Styela clava: one gene and its partners. The protein of the gene in region 2 purifies or fractionates together with the protein of the main gene of each other region. This does not show direct contact. Links are inferred from orthologs where the notes say so. Each region holds a gene or a part of one and is shown on either strand. Other genes may lie near its edges.

Region 1 (8,087 bases), on a different chromosome or scaffold from region 2:
TTCAGGTAATCTTATTTAATGGGAAATAATCAAATCGAATGCCTCTTGTGCGGAAGGGTGTGCTGCTAGGCTTTCAAAATTGACTAAATTAGCTTTTTTCGCTATACGTAATTTTTCCAAAAAAGGCCATTTTCGCTATGAGAATACCCCAGATTCTAAAATAAAGAAGGCTCAGGTTCTATTTGTGTGGCAAACTTAAGGTAAACCTCTTTAACATGAGATAATCAAATCTAATGCCTCTTGTGCGGAAGGGTGTGCTGCTAGGCTTTGAAAATTGACTAATTAGCTTTTTTCGCTATACGTAATTTTTCAAAATAAGGCCATTTCGCCGTAAGAATAACGTAGATTCTAAAACAAAAAAGGCTTAGGTTCTAGTTGTGTGGAAAACTTCAGGTAATCTTCTTTAATGGGAAATAATCAAATCGAATGCCTCTTGTGCGGAAGGGTGTGCTGCTAGGCTTTCAAAAATGACTAAATTAGCTTTTTTCGCTATGCGTAATTTTTCTAATTAGGGCCATTTTCGCCATGAGAAAAACGTAGATTCTAAAATAAAAAAGGCTTAGGTTCTAGTTGTGTGGAAAACTTCAGGTATACCTCTTTAACATGAAATAATCAAATCGAATGCCTCTTGTGCGGAAGGGTGTGCTGCTAGGCTTTGAAAATTAACTAAATTACCTTTTTTCGCTATTCGTAATTTTTCAAAATAAGGCTATTTTCGCCATAAGAATAACGTAGATTCCAAAATAAAAAAGGCTTAGGTTCTAGTTGTGTGAAAAACTTCAGAAAAACCTCTTTAACGTGAAATAATCAAATCGAATGCCTCTTGTGCGGAAGAGTGTGCTGCTAGGCTTTGAAAATGGACTACATTAGCTTTTCTCGCTATACCTAATATTTCCAAATAAGGCCATTTTCGCTATGAGAATACCCCAGATTCTAAAATAAAAAAGGCTTAGGTTCTAGTTGTGTGAAAAACTTCTGGTAATCTTCTTTAATGGGAAATAATCAAACCGAATGCCTCTTGTGGGGAAGGGTGTGCAGCTGGGCTTTGAAAATTGTCTAAATTATCTTTTGTCGATATATGTATTTTTTTCAAACAAGGCCATATTCGCTATGAGAATACCCCAGATTCTAAAATAAAAAAGGCTTAGGTTCTAGTTGAGTGAAAAACTTCAGGTAAACCTCTTTAATAACAAATAATGAAATCGAATGTCTTTTGTGCAGAAGGGTGTGTTGCTGGACTTTGAAAATTGACTAGATTTAACTTTTTTCGTTATACGTAATTTTTCCAAATAAGGTCATTTTCGCTATGAGAAAAACGTAGATTCTAAAATAAAAAAAAGACTTAGGTTCTAGTTGTGGGAAAAAATTAACATAAACCTCTTTATTAATAAATAATGAAATCGAATGCCTCTCCCGCGGAAGGGATTTTTGCTTGGATTTGAAATTATCTGGCTTATCTGCTTTTTCGAAGGAAGTTAAATAAAATTCGTTTCCCCTTTTTTTTGTTTTTTCATTCCTTTTCAAACTTTTATTATTTATTTTTTTGCTATATAATTGTTATTTTTGCTAAATTATAAACATATTTCCCATAATAGTATGCTAATTTCGTTTATCTTCATTTTTTCGGGTGTAGATTCTGACACGCCTCCATTTCTGCCATAAATATTAACCTTTCCGCTTCGCCGCACACAAAGGTCAAATTGCTACTAGCTTCACAGTGGTTATATTTACAGCAATGGCGCCACGACTGGAAAAGTTGCAGCTATGCTAAAATATATTATGTAGTGGGGGCTTCGTTCAGTCAGTAGTTTATCTTTCACCAAATTGAAAATGCACTTACCAGCTTACTGTGAACAAAAATTAGAAAAAAAAGTTGAATATAACATTTCACGGTGAACGGTGACGCAAAAAACGGTACCGGGGTACCGGTGCCGTATACTGGTATATAAATACTGAAATATATGTTGCCGTATATCTAAATACTGAAATATATAGTTAAATACGGGTACTCAGATACTGGTACCGGTACTGGATATAGATGCAGCTATATAGGATAAGATGGTTTTGCATGTTTCTCTTGGCTGCTTGGGGAAACTGGGAAAGGAATGCTGTAAGCGGTTGGTGCTCCAATAATGCCAAACAAAAACGTGATGTGAAAATACAACCCCGTCTTGCGCGAACACAATACGCTAAATCTGTAAATGCATGGAAGAAACGGACGGCGGACAACTCGACTCATGATAGGACAGATGAGTTGTCCAGCTTCTCGCATTTTAGACGGCGACGTTTTAAGACAATAAGGGTTTAATTTCGATCATTTTACATTGAAATTTCACATCACAATTTCGTTGGGTGTTATTTGAGCAGTTACGACGTTCATTTCACATAACATTTTTGTTAGACGTTATTTAAGCAGTCATGGCGTTTACTAGACCACATCAGTGGGCCATCGCCCACCGGTTGAGAATCGGTGTACTAGACCCAATTCTGCAATTAGTTTTGAATTTATAGTGGTTGAAAATTGTTGTTATCGCCGGAAGGCAATAACTTTCAATTATTTCAAACATTATTCACCATGAAGTTCTGTGTAAAGTCGTCTCTCTACTGTCCCTGCACTATGCACAAAAACTCCATTTTAGTTTGCTGTTCAATAATTGTTGATAGATAGATAACTGGTAATGTGAAACTTGCAATCGGAAAGTCTGACCTTGGTCAGATGAATAGTTACAGAAATACATTTATGTTAGTGTAGCAAGACTCTTAAAATGCATAATAAGGTATTTTTATTCCTGCTACAGCATCCTTACATTATACGCATAATCAACAGATCCACTAGCGCAAAGGCATTGCAGTACGGCACACTTTACAGATCGAGAGACAATCTCTCGTTTTAGAGAAACCTATTTTAACGGTGATCGAATATCCCTCCTTCGATGGACGTCTGGCGGATTTTGTCTCCCGATATCGATAAATTGAAGCTGCGCAGTAAACTAACAAAAAGCGCAATCTAAAACCATCACCATTGAATTCCTCGTGAAAAAATAATCAGATCTACCGATGTAAAAAAAATTTTACCGGTGCGTTCGAGAGAAATGAGCAAAAAACGATTGACGGCGTGTGACGTCACTGAATTTCAATCGACGCACGCAGGCACGCATCGGCCGTTCCTCGACGTAAACCTTGGCGTGCCGTGTTTCTCTCATTTTCAATGTAGATAGGATGGCGTGTTAACGATAATAAATGGATCAGAGATAATAAAAATTACATTTTGATAACACACAATCGATAAACAGTAAAATTAATGCCTCGATATAGCATTAGATGAATTAGTTCATAAAGCAATAATTTAATCTAATGCCGCAACGAGACATTCATATGCCGCAAAATGTGCAACTTGCGTAATTTATACAAGAATAGATCGGCGAAAAACGAGAATTAAATTAGCAAAATAACTTAATATAATGCCACATCGATGTATTCATATGCCGCAAATGTTCAGTTTGCATAATTTATACTAGTATAGATCGGTAAAAAACAAGATTCAAAATAATATAATGTCCCATCGATACATTCATATGCCGCAAATGTTTAACTTCGAAAGTTACGGTATACGAGAATAATTTAATTCAATGCCACATCGAGGCATTCATATGCCACAAATGTTAATCTATACGAAAATAATTTAATTCATATGCCGCAAATGATCAACTTGCGTAATTTACACAATAATAGATCGGCAAGAAACAAGAATCAAATTAGCAAAATAATGTAATATCATGCGGCATCGATGTATTCATATGCCGCAAATGTTCAATTTGCGTAATTTATACTAGTATAGATCGATGAAAAACAAGATTCAAACTAATATAATGCGGCATCGATACATTCATATGTCGCGAATGTTTAACTTCGAAGTATACGGAATACGAGAATATTTTAATTCAATGCCACGTCGAGGCAATCATATACCGCAAATGTTAATTTGCGTGATTTATGCAAGAATAGATAGGTGAAAAACAAGAATCAAATTAATATAATGCCGCATTGATGCATTCGTATGCCGCAAATGATCAATTTACGTAGTCTGTGAAAAACAAGAATCAAATTGGCAAAATAGTTTAATCCAATTAATCATCGAGGCTTTTATTTTACTATAGATTGTTGACGCTCAAATTTAAATAAAAATCTCGAATATAATTATTAAATGATATCGTAATTCGTAATCGTTGTGCGTTCTGGAAGTTTCAGTTCTAAATAACCGAAGATGCTATGTTAAATTGTTGTAATTACAGGTATTAACGGGCATACAAAGTTTCACTATCGATATTAATTTAACTATTGAAAAAAAAACTTCGATATCGTGCATCGTTTTGACTTCGTTATACGACAATTCAAACGATGTCATGTAGTCACAAACACCTATAATAAAATTAGTTGGAATCATAGACGTATTAATCGAAACGCATAATTTTGTAATCTCTTGATATTATTTAAAAGTAATTATTTTATTCACAGACGTTTGCATTTACGCAACATTATTTTAATTAGGCACTACCAACAGTAGACTAAATATAATGATTCAGAAATACATCGTATATCTAACCATATAGGTCAGTATACATCGGTAAAAAACGAAAATCAAATTAGCAAAATTCGAGAGCCGTGCCGAACTGCCGATCTGTGCGTGACTTTCTTTGACGTCATATCCAGACATCTGACGTTCTCACGCATCGAGCTCGCAGACGACTCGACGCCCCCGGTTTCACAGACGCCTATCCATATTTTGGCTCTTCCGGAATGTAGACGCAAATCCGGATTCGGGATAGTGTGCCGTACTGCATTGGTTCAACCTCGACTGATAATAATGAATAAGTCAATATTATTATCAAATAATAAGTTTACACTCAAATACAAAATAAATTTTCCTTCCCCAAGCAATAAAATTTTTCTGTGAGCTGGAATTTCAGGATGAGGAACATTGTCTTATTTTAGTCTAATAACATTCGTATTCCTTCTTCGTACCATGTTTATTCGCAGGGTTGATTAGTCAGTAATGGCGGAAATAAAACTTGTCCATGTACCTGGGCATAAACCGATTAGAATATTGAAATGGTTGGTAAAGAAAGGGGAATGGATAAAACATGGCACACCTCTTGCGATATATCGACACGTGGAAGATCCAACGAAGCAAACAAAGATGAAAGAATTACATCTGAAATCGAAACATGTTGGGACAGTGAAAATGTTCTTGATGCACGAAGGCCAAGTTGCCATTTCTGAGGGCGTTCTACTGGAAATAGAAGGTGGGAAGCATAGCATTTTATTTTAGTGAATTCCATAAACTAGGGCTCTCAACCTGGGGTTCACAAGGAGATTTTCAGGAGTATTCAGTTGTGTTTTCATGTGTTGTTATTTTTTTAAATCCTCTACTATTAGAGAAAAATTTGTGCTTATTCAAACACTGCAGAGATTTCCCCTGGGGTTGCATTGTTGTGACTCAACAATGTGAAATCCAAGGCTTTGCGGCCAAACTATGAAATCTCAAAAGACAATGTGCCGCTAGCATTGCAGAAGATGATATCTATATGCTGATTGAAACTTTAAAGGGGGATTTTAATAACATGGGAATTTAATAATATCGGAAGCATAACATTGTGTTATAATGAATTCTATAATGCATTGTATAAGTATATTTTGTCTATAAGTTTATATTGAAGTCCTTTACCCTTGGCTGCTTCGATATTGGATCCATATGTGGTTGAACGATATGGCTCGGCAGTGTGGTGCATCATGCTAAGTGTTTAGAATACGCTCGCCATGGCATTTTTGATTACTCTGCGTGGGTTCGAGATTCGAATTCTGTGCTGGGTTAATTATGTGCGAGAGGATTGCTGGACTCCTCGCCTCCTAAGGGTGGTTCTTGTGTATCTGCTGGTCAGTTACGACTTCTTCCATCATCCATGCATCCAAAAACACTACAGGGGTGGTGAGTAGTGACTTCCCTATGGGCCGGGGCCACGGCCCATATAATAGGACCGCAGCCCATTGGCGATGGGCCATGGCCCATGTGACTTAAATTTTTTGGTGACGTTGCCAGGTGAGGGTTAGGAATGACGTATACATAAATTGAGCCAGACCAACCAGAAGTAGGCTGCATGTGGTACTATACTATACAAGACCTAAAGTTTATCTTTACTCAATTTAAGTATTTTCACATATTACAATTGTATAAATTGTCGTAAAAGACTTGAAATTTACGGTCCATCGCTAATGGGCTGCGGCCCAATTAGATGGGCCTCGGCCCATGGGCTGTAGAGGAGTCACCACTTCCACTCCAAAAACAACTGACTAACTTATCCCATATCCGACATGGAATGGTAACTGGACAAGATGCTTCGGTTAGCCATATGATTAAGCCGCTCTATCGACTTTCTTCTCCACCGGGATAAATAGGTAAATCCTGTCCTAGTATTGTTGTGCTGAATAGGAATAACCAAATCAAATTGTATGCTTGTTAATGTTTGCACTTTGTTGGATAAATTCCAGCTAGGTTAGGTTGAAGGAAGGGGGTTAGATATTTCATTTCAAAGTCAATAGAACACAACAGGTTATGTAGTATTATACTTAGGGCCACGTGTAATTATTGTCATATATGTATGTTAATCAAACGGGTGAGATTGATTGGAGACATTTTGCTGAGACCGGGGCTACCATTATTTTTGGAGGCTTCGGCTCTATTTTTTTTTTCATTTATAATTTCCTTAATAGCAGATAGTAAGGTGAAAGTATGTTTTATTCGTAAAAACATGTTGAAAATACATGGATGGAACGTAGATAGTAGAATATTTTCATTTTTAATTAGCTTGACATGCCCTCCCCTAATAAAAATTGTCTACGCCCCCTTGTGGCCGTCCCAAAGTTCGAGCACCACTGGTTTAAATGATAACCTGGAAAACCAAAACATCGTAATATATTTTGCAATAAATTTCGACTATGTTGGCGTCATATGATTCATGCTTTTAATTTTTCAGGTTGCGCTCACCCAGTTGTGATGAAGGATATGTGTGCCGAGTGCGGTCAGGATCTCAGAATGATAGATGAGGGCCGGGCCAAGCATGAAAGACAGAAATCACATTCTGCTACCGTTTCTATGATTCCGAGCATTCCTGAGCTGCGAATTAGCGCTGAACAAGCGGAAGAAATCGCACAACAAGATAAAAACAGACTTCATCGGATGAAAAAACTTGTATTATTGGTGGATTTGGATCAAACATTGATTCATACGACACAAGATCCAGGGCTCGCAGCTCTTTGCCATTCCACAGATGAATTTTATTCTTTCCAGCTCAGTAAAAATGACCCAATGCTATTCACGAAACTTCGTCCTCATTGTCGTGAGTTTTTGAAAGAAATATCTCAGCGTTATGAATTGCAAATCGTTACATTCGGTTCACGGCAGTACGCTCACAAAATCGCTGACTTCATTGATAAAGAAAAAAAATATTTTGCTCATCGGATCCTGTCAAGAGATGAGTGCATTCATCCGTTTAAAAAATCTGGAAATCTTCGACATTTATTTCCTTGTGGCGATTCTATGGTTTGCATTATTGATGACAGGGATGATGTTTGGAACGCCGTGCCAAACTTGATCATGGTCAGAAAGTATAATTATTTCCAAGGGACAGGCGACATCAACAATCCATACAAGAAGGAACTACAGAAAACAGAAATTGAAGTGAGTCGACGCAAACGCAAATCTGAGGAAGAAGGAACGGAGAGAGTTTCTGATGCAAAACGAACGAAGGAAGATATTGATGGACCACTGGATTCGAATAAAAATAAAATTGTCACCAAAGACGAGGTGGACGATGATTTGAATATTTCGTCTGATTCCGAATCGAGTTCAGACTCTGGGTCAAGTACGAGCAGTAGCGATAATTCAACCTCGGATGGCGAAGATACACAGAAGTCCGAAGCTTTATCGCAACCGTCTGTCGATCAAACCTCAGAACAAAATGGTGACAAATCGCCCAGTGTATCTCATGAGTCACAGCAGAAAGAACAAAACTCTGTAACACCAGAAGAAA
Region 2 (7,121 bases):
ATTTGTGATTGATTGAGCAACTCCAAGACAAGATGACCATTTAATATGCTTTGCCTACTTTGATGAACAAAAAGCTGTAGAAGAGCTGCTGTTTTGCAAGCCAATTGAATCAGGATGTTGGGGAATTGACCTTTTTAAAATTATCTTACTACAGCATGTATTTAGTTTTTACCATGGTCGTAATCAAGACGAATGACCGATCTAGAGTAATCAATGAAAAGATCAAACAAAAACACGTGTGGCTCTTCACCCCAAAGTTCCATTGACATTTGTAAAAAGACTCATCCACCCCATTAAATGTGATTTCACCCACTTTAGTTATATTTTGTTTGTTCGTTTAAATAAACTCATGGCAGAAAAGGTATTTTATTGAGGAAAGTATCATGTTTATCACCTTTATTCACTCGCAACTTGAGCAGATTTTTCAGGGGGGCGTCAGATCACAAAAAAGTTCGAGAACCACTGGGCTAAACCATACAGCATTTATCATGATTCGACAAGAAACTATAGGTAATTTCTGTGACCTGACCTGCCGTACAACACATATCATCAACTACATCAAAGAAATTATATCCTTGAATACTACTAAACAAATATTTGCAAAAATTTATTCAAGACAAAGAAAAAGTCTTAAATTTTATTGAGTCAATCGTAGAGAAAACCAGTAATATGGTTCAATAGCAAGTTATGCTGTCCCCCAAGATGCAATGCAGTTCATCCAATCTCTAGTGAGTTCTTTTCATGGAGAACCGTCGACGCAAGTTTCATTTTCCAAAGTTTGAGACCTTTGTTAAAATACTAACTGACCAGTCCTAAGAAATCATCCATAAGTGAACCAATGGCAAACTGGAAAATGAATATTTCTTACATTATTTTTTAAAAATCTGAGTTGTATACCATTATATAATTCAACAATAATCTTGGACCAAAAATTGAGTCTTTGAAACCCCACTGGGCTAATCACATCGCTGGGTGTTGGTGAAGACTTGTAAAGTAGTATGTATCGAGAAATGATAAAACATATTATCTTTAATTAATGTACTTGTGTGCGAATGCACAGTATATGAACTTAACTTACGTTTGATAAATATTTCATAACTAAAATTTTGCGACAAGGATACACGTGCTGACTTGACAAAAGCCTAATTATCTTTTATCCAACACTGGAATGAAACCCTTAAATTGTTTAACTTACAATATCATTTGCATCAACTCTTGTACCAACGATTTTTAATCGAATTTCATCATCTTGCTGTATAACAACATCTTCATCTTCTGTTTTATAACACGGAGGATGAGATTCTGGATCAAACTTCATATCTGATGGAATTGACTGATGAAAAAATTAATTCATTTTAAAACTGCAACATGACACTTTATTATAGAGCAGGAGCTCATGGCTATTAATATAAGGAGCGCTGCATCAACACATTAAAGGGATGCAGAAAATAATCTTACTGAGTGAAGTGTGACGAATGCCACTAGCGACAAGATAGCCTTATGGAATCAGCATGCCGAAAAAAAAACATTTGTGTTTTTTGATGTCATGAATCATGATGTACACTTACAAAGCTTAATGAATGGCCATATAGAGTCAAAAAAAAAAATGGTTTCATACATACATGTCTAGATATAAAACATGACATAGGTCCAATTTCTGTAAAAAGTCCAACTTTATTGACTTGTGTCACTACGGCATCTACGACTTCACCCTTGAAAGGTCGGAACACAATTGCTTTGTATTTTATCGGATATAGAACAAAACCTCTTCCGGGTTGTATTTTTCCATCACCAATATTATCAATTGTAGTAACCGCTATTACAAACCCATGCCTAAAATACAATTTGAAATATGTATTGTAATATGTATTGTACATTGTCTGGACCAGCAAAACGATTCCTAATAATAAAATCAGTTCAAAATGCACAAAATCTAATAAAATCGAAACTGGAGTTTTTTTTCTACCCAGTAAGGAAAAATTAATTATTGGGATTCATCAATTCAGTTCATGGGATTACTGATTAGTGATTACTGATTAAAAAGACTGAATGCGGTAATTTGCAAATGTAGGTAAATTGATATAAACATGGCTTGGTTGAATCTATAGGTTATCGTTTATAGGATTAGGAATCCAATCAAGTTCTTTTTTGATCATATTGTGAGATTTCATCTGTTTAAAATAATAGTTTTTAGAATGTAACTATTTTAAGTTATTCCTAAAATCAAGAACATAATATATTTAATTTCATATCAAGTCGGATATTTTGTTCATTTTGAACATCCATGGGTGACATACTTTCCAGTACAGGTTCCTTCAACTTCTGCAAACAGCTTTTGCTTGACTGTTTGCAGCAAATTCGGTCCAAAATATCTTGGGTGAAGAAGTATTTCATGCTCCAAGGAAATCTGTAATAAAGTTTCTGTGTTATGTATCATTTTGGTCCAAGTTAGAGACAAAAGATTGGAATTAAACTGTATTGAACATAATCAGATTTTATTACTGAATATCTTTTCCATTTTGTAATACAACTTCTTGTAGAAAATAAAATATTGATAAATCGGGACACACTTTCACTGTTTTTGAACCATTAATATACAGACATGAATATTGTTTCTTTATTTCCAATTTTATGAACAAATAAAAATATAGAAAAATCAATCCCATACTTACATGATAAAACATATTATTTGCATGCAGTAATGACCTTTTAGTTATTACCAGTGTATCCCTCTTATATTCCGGTAAAATATTCACTGTCGAAGCTCTTAATTTAATATCAATATTCAGTAATGATAAATACTCTGCAAGAAGAAAATTCAAAAACCCATTTCGGCATTTAGATATAATCTTGATATTTCACGAGTTATTTTTCAAAGAATTAGGCACTGTGAAAAAGGGTTAAAATATAGATCTATAAACTCTATCAATAAGCAGGTAAAAGGAGAAATATCGGGTCTCGTGTAGTTTCTTACCTAACATACTTCTAGTGGGCGTAGCATCACAATTTTGACATGTCAATCCTAACCCCCACCAGACTATGCCATCCAAAAATTACGTCACTACGACATCACAATCACGTCATAGAGCTTGTTAAATATACGTACTATCGTCTGAAATGGCATCTGCGCCGACGATAAAGAACTTACTAACGTCAGCGATCTCTCTCATATTGGAATCGTCGCCACGTAAAAACGAGAGAAATAGCCGTTCGATTTCGGGTGCGCAGACGTGCGCGTCTTGGATGACAGTTGGTATAGTTTGAAGGTCTCTATTACGTCACTGTGACGTCGTAGAGACGTAATATTTGGATGGCATAGTCAGGTGGGGGTTAGGATTGACACATGAAAAAATTGTTGTGCTACGCCCGCTAGAAGTATGTTAGGTAGGAAACTACATGAGACCCGAAATATCCACTTAAGACTAACAACTACCAGCTGGACTGGATTTTATTAGGTTTCATATATAAAAATATATACCGATTTTAATACAATCGTAATAGACAATACCACGAATTCTCATTTTTCAATGTTTGCCTATCTTTCCCTTTTCAGAACCAATATTTTAATACTCTCTTTTATAGTGGCAAAAAAGCTATTAAACTTCGATCGTCTTTCTGTCTTTACCAATTTTGCATTTATATAAATAAAATCAGCCAGCATGCTAAACATAATTAGACTACAAATCATGTCAAACTTTTTTTTGTCAATCCCCACTGGTTTAAATGTTCCCAGAAAATTGATGAATTATTTATTTATTTCGGTACTCTGACATAAAACCATAACAGCACAAAAAGTAGACAGACAAACAAAATGCAGTGATACCTGGAAGGCGGACATGAGCATACTGGCATAACTTAAAATAAAGTTGAAAAACGTGAAAGTGGACAACTTACACGGAATAATAACAAAAATTAGGTAGATAAATTAAACGTAATATACTTCTAACTTCTACCGTCCAATTATGGTAATTGAGAGATCATCAGAATCTACCCCACATATCATGTACATAAATGAAGCTGATTTTAAATACTTGAATGCAGCAAATTCGGGGATTCTAGGTCGTGGTTGTGTGTGTATCTAAATAGGGAAATAGCTGTATGAAACATCTTATAAATTTGAATACCAAATTAAATCCTTATAAAACATTATTCAACACAATTTCCCTATTAAACAGTGCGATGAGTGAGAGTTGAATGCAGATGAATTACTGACCAGCATCGCCACTTAGTGGCTACTCAAAATTTCATCAACACATGTCAGGGTATTCCCCGGAAATAGACTCGATATCTCTCGCGATTTGTTTCTAAAAGCATTTTGAAACTTTTGTTCCCCGACAGCTCCAGCGATGGGACAATGTACATTGAAACATATTTTGAGAAAGGATCAAGTTTTGCTGATTTTTAAATTTAGTTAAGAGTCAACTATATTTTCCCTCAACTGCTTACTAATTGAAATGACTGACTGTTAACTGTTTGAGCTACAGCTCCTTTCTCTTTTTTAAAGGTCCTTGATTTTGATTTTGCAACTACTGCACCGTACTACAGTACCTACCGTACCGTACTAGATACATGGTGAGGCAATTAGGCATAAATAATGCAAGAGGAGATGGGTTATGTTGACTGCCATTGTCATCTTGCTGCACCTGAGTTTGCTGATGATCTAGATATTGTTGTGAAGCGAGGGAAGGAAGCAAACATCAAAGCAATCATTGTTGTTCCTGAATTTTTTACAGAATTTGAAAGGACATTGGATATTTGTAAACAGTATTCAGACTTTTTGTTTCCTTGCCTTGGAATCCATCCAGTTCAGGTATGCATAACCACTTATGTTTAGTATGCAGATACATGGCCACCCATTCGAATGTTGGAAATGAATGGCCCAGCTAGTCATGTCTAAAAATCAGGAGATCAAATACTTTCGGCTTTCAAGCGTTACTGCAATTATGCATCTTATTTGAGCTTGAAATTTCGCATATGTTCCTATATTATATTGTATATTTCAATCAATGATTTAAAGTTTTACTTGACATGATAGGGATGATTTTGACATAGTAATATGGTATTCATACTGTCTGCAAACTATTCAATTCTATTCATATTTGCTGCAAACATAATGTGGAAACAATTATTCTGTTGTGGAATTTGGAATTGATTGAGGGTATTAATAAATTTATAATTATTTATAAATTATTATTTATAATCTATAAAAAATATAATAAATTTTTCTAATATTATTAACTTGTGATATATGAGATAAAAAAATAGTGGAAATGTGTGACATCGACTTCTTAAGTAAACATTTAGGAATCAAAATAGCGTTTGGATTCTGCTGTGTATATCCTTGTCACCAAACTGATATATTTTTGTATAAAGAGGGATTCCGAACTCACAGAAAGAAGTGTGATGCCAGATGATTTGAAGGATGCAATTCCATTTATTGATTCACATTACAATAAAATTGTTGGAATAGGAGAAGTTGGACTTGATTTCACACCTTTTTATACCAAAGAAAACGATAGTAAAGAGAAACAAAGAGAAGTTTTTCGTCTCCAGGTACGCTTTGTCAGCACCATTATCTTATCTGTCATTTTAATTTTTCACTGAATTGACTAAATTGTTGTTGAATGTTAATAATACATTTTCTACTATTTCAGTTGTAATCTGAACTCATTTCTATTACAGGCCGCTCTGGCTCAGAAGTATGATCTTCCATTGTGAGTATTTTTATTATTGAGATCGATATGGTTTAAAATGAAAAATGAGTCTTCCTAGTGGCGCGGCGGTGTGGCTCAACGGGCTAAGCGTTAGGAATACGCTCGCCACCGCACCTCTAATTACTCCGCGTGGGTTCGCAGGTTCGAATCCCATGCAGGGATGGTTATGTGCGAGAGGATTGCTGGACTCCTCGCCGTCGTTGGGTGGTTCACGTAACCGCTGGTCGGTTACGGCTTCCTCCACCACCAAGTCCATGCTTCCGAAAACAAACAATATAACTAATCCCATACCCGACTTGGAATGGTAACCGGACGAGAGGCCGTGGTTCGCCATATGGATAAGCCGTCTTATCGGCTTTCCTCTCCCCCGGGATAAATATGTAAATCCTATCCTGTAAATCCTATCCTAGTAGCAGGCAAGGCGGTTTACTTGAGAACAGATGCAATATTTTGTTACTTTTATTTTATGAACACTTTTATTCAATACGATATTTTTTTAGAAATGTACATTCACGGTCAGCAGGTAGGCCGACAATAAAAGCATTAAAGGAATGTGGTGCAACAAAAGTTGTGTTGCATGCATACAGCGGGAATGCAGCTTCTGCAATGGAAGGAGTTCAAGCCGGTTATTATTTTTCTATACCACCCTGTATTGTGAGGAGTGAACAGGTACCGTAATCAACTGAAATTGTTGAAAATTTATTCACCATTGTCAAAATGATACAAACAAGCCACAAATCATGTTAAGTACTTTTATCTTGATTATTTAAACATTTTGTCTTTGATGCTTCACAAAATTTGCATTGTTTTCAGAAACAAAACATTGTCAAACGAATTCCAATGGACAATATTTTACTTGAAACTGATTCACCAGCTTTAGGACCAGAAAAGCAGGTAGATCATCTATTTTCTTTTGTCTTTCATTTTTGTCCATTTTGTTTTTTTACAAAATATATCATCAACTCTGCTATATGGGCACTTTGTCTAACAATTTTTTTAATCTGAGATCTGAGCCGTACATATATGTCAACAACTAGCTTCATCAATGACTATACAATGCTTATATATGTTTTATTTATTTATATTTCATACAAAACTTTTTATTACGCACAGGTCAGAAATGAACCGAGTAATATTACAGTATCATGCGAGTGGATTGCGAAAATAAAAGGTATTTCAGTGGAAGACGTACAAAAAATCACAACAGAAAATGCATGCAAGTTGTTTCCAAAGCTAAAAAGCGTATTACTGAAGTGATGCGGACATTTGAAATAGAGACGGAGTTGACGGAAGGCCATGATTTGTCTGGCATTGGGCTTGCTCATTGGATTATTATTTAGAATGCAGTCCTAACTAGCATGTGCAATCAGGTACCAGTTTTTTTCAATAACAACACATCGAAAAAAG
Region 3 (7,503 bases), on a different chromosome or scaffold from region 2:
GTCAACAATCAGACAACCTAAGCCATAAACAAACTTTTATCAATTTTCTTACCACAATGTTTTTAGGAAGATTTATTCTGTCAGCCATTGTTGCTATTTCTCTAAAAGCACCGATTAATACTCTGTCTGCACTATTCATTGATTTTCGGTTGGAAAACTTGGCAAAACCTGAAAAATGGTTGTACATGTATTTGAACCTTACTGAATCAAGTGAAATAATTAAAATCAAACACTTCATTCAAAAATTAATATATTGGTCAGGGGTCGAGAACCTTTTTGGTCAAGAGTGCCATGAAAGGTACATATTTTAACTGCATTTCTGTGCGAGCCATAGAGCATTTCTTCCTTAATCAGGCCTGAAATTTTTGCTCAAAAGTCAACATACAATGTCAATATACATTTAATGTGACTTCTGATGCTACCTGTTGTCGTTGCAGGATTGCTGACATGCAGCACAAGTTGAAATCTATAACACTCATCACCCTTCTTTCGTTTAGGAATCTCCGTAGTATTTCAAAAACTAGCTTTGTTAATCTAATTTAAATATGACAAATACTGTGACTAGTACGTAAAAACAGACTAAGCTTTATTCTATTGCTCCGCGATTCTATCGCTTTGTGATGTCACGAAAGATGTTCCGGAATCCCCTAGTTTTGTCACAATGTCTGTCTGGTAATTCTCCTATATAACATAGACATGTGCTGGGCGTTCTCAAACATATTGGCAAATTTGGCTATAAAAGTGTTTGAAATCTTGTAACAATAGTAAGCTTAGCCTTAGATTTTTCTGGGAGCCATATGTCGTTACCAAAAGAGCCATATATGGCCCCCGAGCCATGGGTTCCTGACCTCTCATATAGGTTGTACATAAGAACGATTGATATTCCTATACCCCACAGGGGTGAATGAAATTTAATCACACTGAATAACCTGAATCATCTCCACCAGGACCAGAAGGTCGCTCAATTATTGTTGACAAGTCACTTCCAGAAAGTAGTGAGTTTTCTGCATCTCCAACACGAGACATATCCTGTAATCAAATTATACAATCATATAGAATATGATCAAATAGATTGGTTGAAAACTAATTAAGCAAGTTTAGCATTCTGTTACGTTTCATTTTTATCTGCCGGGTGCCATTGGTAAGCCGCTGAACTTTGATTGAGAGATAAAGCAAGGAATCGTATAATTCAAAACAAAAACAATTTCCCAGCTTCAAAAAATAGTAACTTTGTATTTCAAGTGTTTTCCATATTTCGTTGATGAAAACACTGTCATGACATCTGAAAATAGCTATCGAATCATTTCGCATTCAACATCTATTTATAGAAAAAATTGGTGATTTTTCACAACAAAAATTTTTCATATGATCAGCCATTTTATACATACAGACATAAGAGAATACAAGTATAAAATACATGAACTCAGAGTACCTTAGAGTCTTTATCATTGCTGAAAGTACGCCACTCCGACCCTACATCCACCACTCTGTCACCAACTACTAAGCCACATTCAGGACACACCATATCCCCTGCCCTGTAATCTTCAATCAAAGGAGCATCTGGATGCTGAGGGCAACAGACTTGACGATGATGATTTTTGCTGAAATATTTGAAAACAGTGTTGAAATGACTCTTGATATTGAACATATTTATTACAGCAGAAGCCAAAAAATTATGACAACATGAAGACATGGCAATAGTTTCTTATTGTGTGTTCCACATAATTCAGTACAGTGATAGTTACATTGCATAAATTATCATTTCAAGCAATTGAAATCTCAGAAATTGATCAAAATTCCTTTATTATATTTTTGAGAACAAATCAAAACACTGTTTTTAATCTGTAATTGTGAAATGATCAAGGGTTTTGGCCTACCCCAATTCACAATGCTGCTAACACAGGTCTGCAGGTTTTCTAAATTCTTTAATTTATTAAAAAGATGATAAAAACATAAAAATACAATTTGAACTGCAGTACCGCAATACTAACAGACTGATGATAGATCTCATATTTCCAATAAGGCTGATTCCTCGCTTTAAACAATTGTTTTTACATGAGTACCATGTTGTTTATCTCCTGAAATTTATTCGTACATGTAAGGCTGACTCTTTGCTGATTCGAACAATTGTTATGTGTCCAAATTTACATTTGAGTATAGTAGTCCAATAGCCAAAATTGTTTTTTTATTTGTGGGGCTTACTCCTCACTTTCAAATAATAGTGTAATCGTTGATTATTTGCCCAAACTGTTTCATTTCACAAATCTCATCATTTAAAAATTGATTTCACAGAAAAAAATTATTTACTTTTATTTAGGCCTACTTCATTTTTTTGTTTGTTTGTTTTTCCAAATTTTGTTTCGTGAACTTTAACCATTTCTAATAGTCATATTTTACTGTGAACTTATCATCGTAAACTTAGAGGGGGCTGACTTCGATGACCGCATGGTCGTATCGCTCCTTCCGAAAAAAGTGTATTTTTTATAGCCATTATTTATTTATTATTATGTTTTTTTTTAAGGTCCACGTTGTGGATTCATAACAGTTTTGTAAAAATAAATAAATGATGAAAAAATAATAATCATAGAACATAGTTACATATAATAAACAAATATATTCGTAAACATCATTCAGTATTATCCAGCAATTCATATTATTCCATTGTTGATTTCAGATAAAGTTTCCCATGTTTATCAGTAAATATACATTAATTTATATGTTTTTAATTTATAGCTTATTATGACTGTAGTTTTTCTGGTTGACGAAATAAATCTCTCTCTCTACTCACCTAGAACCTGACATTGTCAGATCAGATTCTTTGTCTACAGTTGAAAACCCTGTCTGTCGGTCTCAAATACAAGACTAGTTTCAACACTGTAACAGCAGAACAGAGCTTCGAATGAAGGCAGAATTGCTACCTCGGGAGTTTTCAGACCAATGAGATGTTCAGACACGCGCCATAGGCCTGATTTACTGATAAGCTAATTCACAGATAGGCTGAATTTTTCAATCGTCGGTTGAGGGTTGATGCAATGTTTTTCGACCTTTGACCTCACAAACCTGTTAGGACGAGTCCGGTATTCGGCGAATCCGAGTAAAGTAATAGATCATGGACTCGAATCGAATCGTCCGAGTCTGTGACGTCAAAGTGAAAACGGCAAAAAACACGTTTTCGATTGTGATGCAACAATACGCGATCAGTAGCGTACGCCGTACTGCGTTCTTGCCAAGTCCATGCTTCCGAAAAACAATATAACTAATCCCATACCCGACTTGGAATGGTAACCGGACGAGAGGCCGTGGTTCGCCATATGGATAAGCCGTCTTATCGGCTTTCCTCTCCCCCTGGATAAATATGTAAAATCCTATCCTATCCTAACTTGCATTGGAACGGATACGATGATTTTAAACTGAACTAACCGAAAACGACAAAAGAACCCAACACCCCAATCCATGATTTGTGCGTAGACTGCTATGGAACATTCAGTCCATTTACCGAGCTTGTTTTTCAGTAAAAAAATAAAATAAAAATTTGTCACTGTGTCACTTTTGCAACGTAATTGAACTAGGCCTACTGCATCATCATTTTTCGGCAGCGAGTGTTCTTTAATCCATATATCTGTAGGAAAAGCACATACACGTCTCACATTTTAATTTGAATTTATAAGATATTGCCCGAGGTCACATCGTGTTTTTGGTTTATTGTGTTTTGGGGGGACGGGCACGTACTTGTACGTATTTAACTTTATTATTGAGTTATGCCCGTCCTCCAAGTCCTCTGTATTTTGTTTGCCCTTTGTTGTTGTTTTGCTTTTTGTTTGTATCAGAGTGACCAAATAAAATTGATTGATTGATTGATTGATTGATTGATTGATTGATTGAACTTGTTTTTTGGCCACATGCTCACAAAACAGAAACGAATGCCAAGCGATGTTCGCTTTGGCCGTAAGCTTGCTTTCATGCCCACCTACGTCAGTTAATTCAGAGCGTATTTTTAGCACGACTGGCGTTGTAAAGTCGCCGTTACGTAACCGTCTGAAGCCAAAACGTCGAAATATTAACATTCTTGCATGTCAATCCGGCATGAAATGATAACCGGACGAGAGGTCGTGGTTTGCCATATGATTTAACTTTATTATCGGCTTCCGCTCCCCTGATAATGTAATCAATGACATTAAACAACATGATGCGCAACCCAGGCATTTTTGGCCGAAGATCGTATCCGATAGCACGCTCCAATGCACATACTTGACGAGACGAAAACGAGCGGATGTGTGCTGCTTTCAAGGCATAGCACTAATGGTGTTCGTTCCTGCTTTGACAGTTGTTGTCGATTTTAATGATATATTGGAAAATTGAAGGTAAAAAGAAATCGGAAAAAAGTAAGGTAAATACTATTGTTGTATATCACACCCGGGCATTGCACTGTTAAGTACATGTGGGAAAGCCGACTTTTGCCAAATACTACGAAGTTATTAAATCAGTACGGTACGTAGTTGCCCATTTGCCGGAATTGCATATTTACTTACCCCTTACGGTTTCAAATAGTTCATGCACCTCCAATTAGATTATTTTTAATCAGTGAGGATATATACTCATTGCTGTAACATACTATTGCTCATTCACTTTTATTTGCGTATTGAATCAAAGGGTTAACAAGTTCACCTAACATTTCACTCATACCGGTCTATATTGTATAGTAATTTTCTGTAAACCCCTTTATTAGTTGGTTTATATACCAAATTCAGTAAAACATTTTTTACATAAAACATGAGATATTGGATTTATTAGCTTTTCCAATCTAAATCATATAGACTGCTTTATTTATTCTTAACGAAAATTATTAAATCTCCTCTCTTTCTTTAGATGTAAAAGTTGTGGGAAAACCTGTCTAAGCATTGTGGGACTCCTGCAGCACAAGAGGCAATAGCAAAAATAGAAAGTATATCAATCAAGAAATTAAGCCGACATAAAGCAAAACTTTCAACTATTCGTCCAACCTCAATTTTCTATTATTTATTCACATGACAACTGTAGCAGAAGGGGAGATATCAGAAGTCTGTCGACATATCAGTGACAGTGTGATTCCAAGAAATACAATCAGAATACTCCATAAATGTTTGCAATAGAAGAACAACCTATGGAGACATGCAAAGACATTTGACCCTCCGGTAGAGTTGTGTATGGCCCCTACATCCTGCAGGGCTTAAGGAAAATAACTAAAAATTCCAAAGCGTAAGATTGCATAAGCGGTCTTATTCGTAAAAATGCACAAAACATGCCAGACATACTTAAAACAGCTTTGGAAAATGAGGATTATGGGTCACTCACTACACCTGTGTTATATTTGATTCATCAACTTTTGGTAGTAGGCCTACTAAAGAAGAAATTCAGGAAATGGTATAATCATGATTCATGATAAAATACTGTTTTATATTTAGGACAACTTCAATCTAGACCAGGGATATCAAACTCGCGGCCCCGGAGAACTTCCAGTGCGGCCCTCGAACGCTTAACAATAATTGTAATTGTATTTTGGAGTTTTTTTTATCTAAGTGTAATAGATTTTTCAACCCTTTTAAAGTGAAATTGAATATTCACACAGAAAGCAATTTACTGAAAGTAGTTTTGGAAAGTTAATTTTTTTGTTCACATTTTGACCCAATTAAGAATACACATCAAGCTAGCAAAAGAATACTTGAATAAAACACTTGAGTGAATAAATTGAACGCAAAGTACATGAAGAAGGTGGCATTTTCGAAGAAAATGGAAGTTGCAATATTTCTGCATTTCACAAAATTTTGAAGCACATTGTTCAATTTGTCATATTTTCATCAGTACAATAAAAAAACACAATAAGCTCGGCAGTCAATATGACAATTTCGAAGACCAACTTCGAACAGAAAATTACCATGTGTTTGTATATTAATATAAATATACAACGAATTAGTGACTAAAAATTAATATCAATATTAATTCAAGCAATCCTATGCAATGTGGCGCGAAATGTCGTGTCGTATCTGTCATTTGTTTTTTTACTGATCTATTCATGAAATGATAAAAGAAACTTTTTTGCATTACTGGAATTAATTAAACATTCGCAAAGATCTAGAAAAACCCATGATCACGTGTCCTCGTTAGTTAGAGTTGGTACTATAAAATCATTTCAGCCTTGCCTTAGTATGCTGGTGACACAAAAAAGATGCCAAACGTCAGGACAAATGTAATTAAAAAAACATTGAGTTTATACTGTAGTATTTTTGTTAATTTCAAGTCCATGTATTTAGATTAAGTCATTTTTAGTGTATGTATTATTCTTTCCTTATCTAAAGCTTGTTCAAAAATGATTTTGATGGTTGTATATAGAATTTTATGATTTTTTGTAATAAATACAGTAACTTGCAATAATAGTGGAATGCAAATATTAATATGTAATTGCATTTGAAATTAAAGAAAATAATAAAACTTAATCCAACTGTTTAGTTGCATCACAATATATGTCACAAACTAAAACTATCTGAAAAATATCTTTCAAGTATACATTATCAAAAAGTGTTTTTGGCCCTTTTTACAATTTCCAAAATGCAATGCGGCTCTCAAAAACCCTTGAGTTTGACACCACTGATCTATTCTAGACGATTCAAGCATTGCTTTGGGAAATAATATCACTGCAATTAAATTGAAAAAAATCTCGCTATATTGAATACAAAATCGTTGCTATCATAAAGGTAAACCAATTCAGCCACTCGGAATATATTGGCCTTCACAAAGCAATGGAGGCAAAATTGAGAGTTCATGAGCTATGAACTTATGTTCTTTTCTTTGTCTTGAACTTTATATACTCCACAGCCCCTATTAATTTTTTTTTAATTTTAATTACCATGTGATGGTCATACATATCTTTAACTTGTATTTTCTGTCATGATGTATTATCTCAATGTGTCAAACTTTTAATTAGTGTGCATATTTTGCTTCCAGATGACATAAATGTACAGTATTGTCTTGTTTATTACCTCAGCTTGGAGTATTGACAAGAAAAAGGTGCCCGTAAATTACGTAAAATGATTTTTAACTCTTTGTTATAATCAGAATTCACAATTAATAGGAATCATAAACAGCCAACAATCAATGAGAATTATATGCCAAATCCCTCAGAATAAATTTGTCTTCTAAAATCGGAGGAAAGCAAAACATATAGGCAGTTTCCATTCATACAAGTCTTTCATGAAAACTTGCTCGAGCCAAACTAAATGAGCATCGTCAGATGATCGGTAAGATAATATTAATTAGTGGGCTATGAACTAAATTCCTAAATTTAGACACAAACCTATCTACGAGGCATTATGTACCAGCAATGTTACCTACGGTTAACTAAATATGTAATATATATGTCTAATAAATTAACCTACTGAAGCATGTTCGATAGGTGCAAACTTTGTGTTATGGAATTGTATCACAGCACCGTTAAGAGAAGTAAAAACAGTTTTGCATGACACTCTCTTT

Evidence for each region.
Region 1: the proteins of DNA-directed RNA polymerase II subunit RPB7 (region 2) and RNA polymerase II subunit A C-terminal domain phosphatase-like purify together in Homo sapiens (affinity purification with mass spectrometry; 4 studies listed by BioGRID and IntAct, counting the BioPlex papers as one, with this or other methods). This does not show direct contact. The link is inferred for Styela clava from reciprocal best matches to the Homo sapiens genes POLR2G and CTDP1.
Region 3: the proteins of DNA-directed RNA polymerase II subunit RPB7 (region 2) and transcription initiation factor IIB-like purify together in Homo sapiens (affinity purification with mass spectrometry; 3 studies listed by BioGRID and IntAct, with this or other methods). This does not show direct contact. The link is inferred for Styela clava from reciprocal best matches to the Homo sapiens genes POLR2G and GTF2B.

The regions. Positions count from the first base shown.
Region 1 is NC_135255.1:24,223,065-24,231,151, reverse strand, and holds the start of RNA polymerase II subunit A C-terminal domain phosphatase-like, read left to right. Parts: upstream 1-5,041; 5' UTR 5,042-5,053; coding exon 5,054-5,303; intron 5,304-7,031; coding exon 7,032-8,087. UniProt on the Homo sapiens protein: Processively dephosphorylates 'Ser-2' and 'Ser-5' of the heptad repeats YSPTSPS in the C-terminal domain of the largest RNA polymerase II subunit. This promotes the activity of RNA polymerase II.
Region 2 is NC_135251.1:13,536,990-13,544,110, reverse strand, and holds DNA-directed RNA polymerase II subunit RPB7, read right to left. Parts: upstream 2,825-7,121; 5' UTR 2,685-2,824; coding exon 2,673-2,684; intron 2,408-2,672; coding exon 2,298-2,407; intron 1,834-2,297; coding exon 1,623-1,833; intron 1,334-1,622; coding exon 1,196-1,333; intron 847-1,195; coding exon 799-846; 3' UTR 581-798; downstream 1-580. Other genes in the region: putative deoxyribonuclease TATDN3, read left to right, coding at 4,595-4,810, 5,374-5,553, 5,683-5,714, 6,215-6,383, 6,528-6,608, 6,828-6,971. UniProt on the Homo sapiens protein: Core component of RNA polymerase II (Pol II), a DNA-dependent RNA polymerase which synthesizes mRNA precursors and many functional non-coding RNAs using the four ribonucleoside triphosphates as substrates.
Region 3 is NC_135254.1:20,967,453-20,974,955, reverse strand, and holds the start of transcription initiation factor IIB-like, read right to left. Parts: upstream 3,069-7,503; 5' UTR 2,803-3,068; coding exon 2,789-2,802; intron 1,602-2,788; coding exon 1,433-1,601; intron 1,032-1,432; exon of another isoform or gene 1,030-1,031; coding exon 930-1,029; intron 169-929; coding exon 53-168; intron 1-52. UniProt on the Homo sapiens protein: General transcription factor that plays a role in transcription initiation by RNA polymerase II (Pol II). Involved in the pre-initiation complex (PIC) formation and Pol II recruitment at promoter DNA.